2 linked regions of the Schizosaccharomyces pombe genome follow. The protein of the gene in region 1 purifies or fractionates together with the protein of each later gene. This does not show direct contact. Each region holds a gene or a part of one and is shown in the gene's direction. Other genes may lie near its edges.

Region 1 (4,777 bases):
CCTTACTTGGACCTAGCTTTGGTAATGCAATATCCCAGGGACCGTGAATTTCACTAAGATATATATGTGAGAATTTAGAAAGAAATAATAAAATAAAATAATTACATACTTTTTAAATCTTTGAAGCTTAATAAACCAAATGGGACATATAAACGAAATGAAAAATATTAATGAAAGAAAGACAAACGCAATAACAACAGATGCAACAGCATTCAAAGCAATATATGCACTTATGATCAATACGAGGGTCATAAGCATGTCAGCGTAAAAAGAGAAAACCTGTAATTGGTTAAATAAAAGAAAAGGCCAATAAATTGCTTCTTACATGAATGTATTTGCGAAAAATGGGGAATAGTGCAAACCAATGAACGGCAAAAAGAATAAAAAAAAATACATTAATTGACTTTTCCAGTCGTGAAGCTAGAACAACAGATGCACTCAGCGCCGCATTTGTTGATAAAGAATTGTGTAGCCTAAAAAGAAAAATAATTAGAAATGGAATTAATTACGATGAAGTTTCCAAAGACGTACCTGACATGAGGTCTGATAGTTTCCGTCGTATATTCATGAAAAAATACGTTCGCAAGGAAAAGCCAAACAGCAATAGCCCAAACTGAGTCAGGAGAGGTAGATTTTGTTAATGACATTAGAATTGGCGATAGACCAGCAAGCGTAAGAACAATTAATATACAAGATTTAACGATCCCCATGTAATTAGGAAAAGTTCTATTGTTACAAGGCTTTCTCAACACAAAATCCCACAAAATGAATGCCGCGACCGCAGAAACATTTGACACGAAACCAACAAGCGCACAAGATAACTGGTTCCTATAGATCGAAACGAAAACCGAGGCAAATATAACTACGCTTGATAGATGCTGGGAGACAGGTAAACTATCGGCCACTAAAGACCAAAAGTCAGTGACTTGAATGTTAACATTTCGTTGTAAGCCATTCAAAAAAGATTCATCAATGAAGTTATCTGGGTAATCTTGTTTCCTCCATAAAACCTTTTTCCAAGGTTTCTTTAGTTCAACAACTTCTTTTACAGAGGCTTTCCTGAACGTGTTCAAGACGAGTGATTTCGCGACCATCTTTTTGGGCGCTGGAGCAGCACATACTTCATCCATTCAGTTTTAAAGTAATTTATAAATCAACTAAATAACTACATTCGTCCTAAACTCTCATACAAATTAAGCTGAATTTGCTTCCAATACCGTATTTTCAACAGTTCTTAGAGTAGTTGGATTTGGTTAACATCGACTGACTATAATATAAGTTGACTAGTACTGTATGTTTGGGTCCGCAAACAAATAAACCACACTTTCCTAATTTAATTCATATATATCTACTTTAAAAAGTACATTCAGCATCGTTAAGAGTTTTTATTCCCAAGAAAATGATTTAACTGCATGACTCTGAATATAGGGTTGTTCATGAAATCTGCAATCGCGCATACTCGCAATTGGACTTTAATCTATCAATTGACAATTCAAGTGATAAAATTTACGACTGAACTCTTATAAACCCGAATTCAAGCATTCTAGTAAGCTAATAAGTCAACATTAATTATAAACAATTATTCTAAATTCAACGAAAAGTAAACTTTCACGAACAGGGTTTACATTTTACGAAAAATATGTGTATTCTTTCTAACTTTCCCTTATTCAAAAACTGCAAAAGGTTATCTCTTAGTTTCCTATTCTTGATGTACGTTTAACTCGTAGTGTTATAAAATACTTGAAAGCTAAATGTGCGTGGTACAATAAGATGATCAGTAGAAAAATATGCTGTTTTTTTTTTTTTAAAATAAATATAATAAATGTTCTTGTTCCATTGCTTGCATCTGTATGTTTTCTAACCATGTTTATGTGCGTAAACAATAGAAAGAAAAGGATAAAGAAAGAAATTTCACAAAAATATATAGCATAAATTTTTTTTAAAAAAAAGAAAGGAATATCTGCTGCTTTTCACAAATTGTTCTAGCTGCGCGTATTTAATGGTAATCAAATTTTGTTTCACACTGAATACTGATTTCATCTACTACCAACATATACCATTACACTGTATGTTTCATGATTGTCAATATATGAACGGACTATTTTAAGACAAAAAATCGAAACGACCATAAAAATTTGATAAAAAATTGAAAGGAAGCTAGGCGTTTTGTGCGTGTTTGTTTAAATTTGCATTGGTCAATTAACGCGTCAATTAGTAATCAAAATAGTAGAAATACAAAAAAAGGAATAAACGGTATGGAGAAAGAGAGACAAGATGGATTATCTGACAAGCATAAATTCATTCTTCAATATATAATGTGTCGCACAGCTGGTGTTGATAATGAACAAGTTCGTGAACTTGTTCAAGAGCAGTATGGAGAAACGGCAACTGTAGAAGATGTAATAAATGAATTGAACAATTCTTTGCACAATTTCGATTTTAAGATAAAACGAGTACAGGATCAACTGGATGGAAGATTAACGCTGCACTTTCAGAATTTATCTGGAGACCCAGTATCCCAAATGGCTACTCCTTACCCTCCTGTTCAGATAGAACTTATGAGAAAGATAATCGAATGGATCATGAAGTGTGATGATTACCAATATTCATTAACGACTCTGCAAATCCAAAAATTATCGAGAAAAGAAATGGGATTGGCACCTAGTGTTATTGAGTCTCACTTACATACGTTTGAACGTGATGGATGGCTAAGACAGAGAGAGGGTATTTGGACATTTACGAATCATGCGTTAGCTGAATTGGATGCTTATTTACACAACGAATACGAGAGCAATTTATACGAATGCAACGCTTGTCGCGAAATTGTAATTGCTGTAAGATACATATCACAAATGCAAACTTACTAACTGAATACCTTATAGGGATATGTATGTGATTGTGGCTACTGCTTGCATGTTTACTGTTGCAAGCATTTAGCTCATGTTAATTGTATAAATTGTAACACGCCATGGGCAAATGCGACCGTTATAGGACGCTGGTAATTTTTTCACTACCTACTGGTGTTCGCTTTACTTGTTTATACATTTGGGCTACTTGGGAAAGGATATAGAAAACTTATAAAATTAACAGTTTTTAATGTTGGAAAAAAGGGTTCGTAATTAAACTATGTGGAGAACACTCGCATTTTAAACTGAAATCGTTAAAATTCAGGTGAAGGGTTAGACTCATAAAACACGAACTCAAAATCTTCTTTACAAAAAAATAAAAGAGAAATGACATCGATCATCAAACGCATAATCACTGTCATTTTCTTTAAAAATGTCCGCATTTACATCACATTTAAATCTGAGTGCAATCGTCCTTAAAATTAGAGCTGTTAAAAAAGCCATCTTGTACCAGTTTATCGTAATTTGCTGCAAGAACAATAACAAAAGATGTTTTTGCGTCCAACAGCTTTTTTTTTAGTATGCTTAATAGGCAGTGGCTGACGAAGAAAAAATTACCCATTAATTAATTTATTCCTTGATGATAGCCAACAACTCGTGATCACGGTACAACGAATACTCCTCTTCGCCCACCTTGATGTTGCTTCCACCATAAGCAGGCAGCAAGACACGATCACCAACGGCTACGCTGGGTTGAGCCAGTTTACCTTCCTTGTTATAACCGCCCTTTCCGACGGAAATAACACGACCTTCGGATAACTTTTCAACGCTCTTCTCAGGTAGAAAGATACCAGAAGCGGTTTTGGTGTCGGCCTTGATACGTTGAACCAGAATACGATCCAAAAGAGGCACGATTGACTTGGCGGATTTCAGTTTGGTAGCCATGTGAAAGAATGCAAAATGATTTTAAAAAAAAGCCTAACAAATACAAAAACTGTGGTTAATGCCAATATATTTCCGTCAAAACTTGTTCGTTTTGGGCAAGTGCTCAGTAGCTTCAGTTGAAGCTGTGATCCTCCTTATTAATCTTTTGCAGATCATCTGGAAAGTTCTACCAAAAGTTTATTTTGCGTTAATACTCAAGGTTCCGGTAAAACACAATGCGAGATTCGGCTCCAATATGCTATATTTTAATAATGTTAACTACGCAGTTTGGTATCTGTTTTAACGACACGCAGAACTGCGGTGAGTTTTCCTTGTGATTTAATATATAGTGTAGTATAGCTGACATTGCCCTCCCCAAGATTTTCTATGTAAATCTGAGGATAAGTCATATGTTCTCAAATATTTAGATTATTGTTTTTAATATAATCATTGACAATTGCTTTGTCCGCTTGTAGCGCTGTAGCTAATGTAGTCCATCCTGACATAATAGTACTCGGATTTAGATTCGAAATGTACTTAACGTTTAAATAGAGTACTTGTTCTCTATTTTTATGTTCTAGGATATGGAGAATTGTTCCTATGTCGGATTCATCAATGGTAGCGTAATTGAGTTCTGAATTATGTCGATACTTTTCTAGGTGAGAAACATGAAAAGTAGATGGAAACATGTGCTTGATTGAATCTGGAAGATCCAATTCATAGTTGTTTGGGCCCGACTTCTGTTACACATAGAACGGTCCTGCAAAACTGACACGTATCATACATGTGATGCAAATCACAGTAAGTGTAGTTATGTCGTGAATTACTAACATTTACTTTACAATTAAAAGATAGAGTATATAAAAATGGTATTGCTGTCAAATAATTTAGTTGGAAAGCCTTCATTCAAGTTGGATATTTGTCGATAACGATGGTTTCCGTACCACCGTAAGAAATTTCTGGTTTTCTACGCACTGAACGCAGTTAAGGTAATTTTTGCTCAAAAA
Region 2 (3,549 bases), 170 kb from region 1:
CACTCGTTTGAAAAATTTCGATACCGCTAGTAAATACCTCGAACAAGCTAAAGTAATTTTGGGACAGAATGACCCAACTGTGATATCTACAGAGAAGTTTTATAACTCTATCAAAACTCAGTCTAACTAAAATAAAAGGTTTTTTACTTTTTGTACAATAATAGAAGCTGCAAACCACTTTGTTTAACAAATTAGTATGGAAAATAAAAGTGCATGGAAATAATATAAAGATGGTATTTTCATTGTTTTGTGCACCCCATTGTACCATTGAAATGTCTTGTTTTATTATATTGTTACAGAGAGAATATTCTGGTATATTTAACAAATCCCGGTTTTTGCCTACGCATATATATGTAGCATCACCAACCCACACGTACTTAGGATATCCGAAACGCAATTGTCCTTCAATTTGCTTACGCTTTGATTAATTATTACTCATCTTAATCAAAGTTAAATTTTTATTTCATTGTAAACACATTTAATATGTTGTTTGATGCTTTTACTAACGGATTTATGAATGATATTTTTGAATTTGGTGACCGATCGAAATTCAACAGATCGGCATGGTTATCGTGCTGGGGCCCAGCATTGGAGCTAAGAGAAACAGAGGATACTATTGAAGTTGATGTTGAAGTCCCTGGAATCGATAAGCAAAACCTTAAAGTTGATTTACATGGATCGAAGTTGACTATTTCTGGTGAGCGTAAAAAGCCAGAGGAAGAAAAAGCGGGCCCTCTTATTCGCTGGAGTGAAAGATGTGTAGGTGCTTTTTCACGTACGATAACCCTTCCTCAGCCTGTCGATGAAAAACTTATACACGCTTCTCTTAACAATGGTATCCTAAGCATTGTTATGAAGAAAAAGAACCCTGAGTTTACGACAAGAATTGTTGAAATTCAGTAGTTTCAAATACTCAATGCTAATTTAAACTATAGCATTGTCTTTTTTTGGTCCTGGCATTTTAATGCTTGTTTTATGTTTGTTCACCACCTTTTTTGCATGACATCCGATAAACTGCATGTAACAGATAAAAACCAAAGTACTACCCTCCTTTAAGAGAAATTTGATTATTAACGGCTATATATTCTCAAGCATGGCTTCATACGCTTGGCATCGATTTGCTCAAGTATCAGGCTTATTGCTAAATAACGGAGGATTAATATATTATGAGTTCTATTCATAATCTATGAAAGTAAATGAAAAGCTATTTTTCTCCCTTCTATCTGAAAATGGGATATCAGACTGCTACAAAATTAAATAAAATATTGGCAAGTTTTACGTTATCAATACACTACAGAAATAGGATAAATTCTAACAAATTAATGATTTGTATTTTTACATTTGATATGTTTTTAGAATACATCGTTCAAAGGATATTTGACTTCACTTTTGACCTTGGCAAAAAGTTGATTTTTTATCTTTTTCCAATGTAGGGAAAAAATATTGAAATTGCAGCCTGTGACAGGTTCACTAAACCAGTATTGAATATTCTATAAAGTAATTGTTGAAATATACTTTGACAGATTGCTAGCCTTGGTTCGAATGTTTTCGAGACCCAACTTTAACCAAATGTTACAGTAATTATTGATGGTTTTGGTATCTATCCTGTATTCTTTATTCTTCGAATAGTTTCGTTGATCGAATATTAGAAAAATTTATTCTCTGTAATCATGCATTTGTATTTGTAATGTATTAATCAAGTAAGGAAGAGAAGGTACTCACGGATCTGCTAGGACTATTAATCTAGACACAATTTAGATTCAAATTACAATAATTCAATATAAAAGCACCAATTTGAATCTTCAGATCTTGTTTTGAAATGATCAACAAAGATACTGTGAGATCCGAATGCACCGCATCCATTAACCAAGTACCACAAACGATGGCAAAAGTGTATGATTAGACATATTAAAGTCGATAACAATTACTAATTTTGATAGCCCTCGCAATTTTAAATTACTTGAAGAGCTAGAAAAGGGCGAAAAAGGCCTCGGAGAGAGTTCTTGCTCATATGGTTTGACGAACGCCGATGATATTACATTGTCCGACTGGAATGCAACGATTTTAGGACCTGCCCATGTATGTTTCTATTGGGGTATATTTCAAGTGTTAAATTGATGTAAAAAAAATGACCGGGGACTAGCTTTGAAATTTATGAAGACTTTCGAATCAATACACTTTGAAGCTTATCCTGTTTTAATACTTTTAACTTTCAATTTGTACTAATTTGTTATTAATTTAGAGCGTTCATGAAAATCGCATTTACAGTTTGAAGATTCACTGCGATGCCAATTACCCTGATGCTCCTCCCATCGTCACGTTCGTATCTAGAATTAATTTGCCTGGAGTTGATGGTGAAACAGGAAAAGTATGTGTATATTAGAGAAAGTTTGTAAAATACCTCATGTTCTCTGTAAATTCTTTTCATAGCAAATATCAGTATATTGTATGAAAATGAGAATTTGGTGTTGGCTTAACGAAGAGAAGCTAATTTTACGCGAAATAAAAAAATCAAGCTTTTTTCAGTTCATACTAACGTTAATTAGGTAAATCCCCACAAAATTGACTGCCTTCGCCATTGGAAGAGAGAATACTCTATGGAAACTGTTCTTCTAGATTTAAAAAAGTATGTCTATTAAACTTCGTATGAATGATCATCCTAACTTATGTTTTAGAGAAATGGCATCCTCTTCCAACCGAAAACTTCCTCAGCCCCCTGAGGGTAGTACATTTTTTTAAAGCAAAAAAGGAACTCTCATAGTACAGAATCTTTCAGCTATTGTTCCTATTATTCGATCGCTGATGGTGGCCTTCTTAGCTTACATTATCCATAGTTTCGACACTATGTGTATTCCTATTTTCCTTTTTTGCTTTCTTTACATCAACGATCCTTAAAACATGCAAATTACATTACAAAATGATAACTTACAATACCTAAAGATATTAATTCTATACCTGTATTTGACATTTTGGTGTTGTGTATTTATGTGTCGGAATTTTTATTGTAAACATTTCTTTTAGAATCATAAAAAAATTTGAGGCTACAAAAAGTAATTAGTCTTTATAAGTGTCTCTCCAATCCTTAAACATTCCAGGACAAGCATTTGTCAGAACTTCCCACGTTTGATCTCGTATGATTTGTTCGACAGATAGTTCACTTTGTAAGACAATTTGTACCTCTTCCGGAGGGGATAATTGCACTTGCACCTCTTTAGCGTAAGGATCCAAACGTTCGGAAACCTGAGTCGTTGATGATGAAGGCAATTGCTGCTGTGATTTTAAGGGTGATTTGGAAGTATTTCGATCTTGATCAAGTTGTGATCGTACAATAGTTTGACATTCTTTTAAGAATTGATCCCGACTTAACCAACCTTCGAACAACTTTTTCTTTACGTTTTGACAACGCTCTTCTTGGGTTTCATGTACCTTCCCTTCTGGGTATTCCCATTTTGCTGAATTAAGAGATAATTGGATGGTATCGTCTATCTTTCTAGCTTTCCTCAAAACATCTAAAAGTATGATTAGTATTGGATGAATTGGTTGTGTAAA

The links.
Region 2: the proteins of nse1 (region 1) and mms2 purify together in Schizosaccharomyces pombe (affinity purification with mass spectrometry, with the first as the bait; one study listed by BioGRID). This does not show direct contact.

The regions. Positions count from the first base shown.
Region 1 is NC_003421.2:1,191,942-1,196,718, forward strand, and holds nse1 (Smc5-6 complex ubiquitin-protein ligase E3 subunit Nse1), read left to right. Parts: upstream 1-2,045; 5' UTR 2,046-2,255; coding exon 2,256-2,834; intron 2,835-2,882; coding exon 2,883-3,002; 3' UTR 3,003-3,476; coding exon of another isoform or gene 3,477-3,791; 3' UTR 3,792-4,082; downstream 4,083-4,777. Other genes in the region: gpi2 (pig-C family GPI synthesis protein), read right to left, coding at 1-53, 110-279, 326-473, 532-1,130; protein Hsp10, read right to left, coding at 3,477-3,791.
Region 2 is NC_003421.2:1,364,739-1,368,287, forward strand, and holds mms2 (ubiquitin-conjugating enzyme Mms2), read left to right. Parts: upstream 1-1,857; 5' UTR 1,858-1,882; coding exon 1,883-1,893; exon of another isoform or gene 1,894-1,940; coding exon 1,941-2,079; exon of another isoform or gene 2,080-2,242; coding exon 2,243-2,368; exon of another isoform or gene 2,369-2,476; intron 2,477-2,546; coding exon 2,547-2,626; intron 2,627-2,675; coding exon 2,676-2,739; 3' UTR 2,740-2,967; downstream 2,968-3,549. Other genes in the region: NatA N-acetyltransferase complex regulatory subunit Naa15, read left to right, coding at 1-130; Hsp20 family protein, read left to right, coding at 484-903; protein mix23, read right to left, coding at 3,055-3,509. UniProt on the Schizosaccharomyces pombe protein: Has a role in the DNA error-free postreplication repair (PRR) pathway. Lacks catalytic activity by itself. The ubc13/spm2 heterodimer catalyzes the synthesis of non-canonical poly-ubiquitin chains that are linked through 'Lys-63'.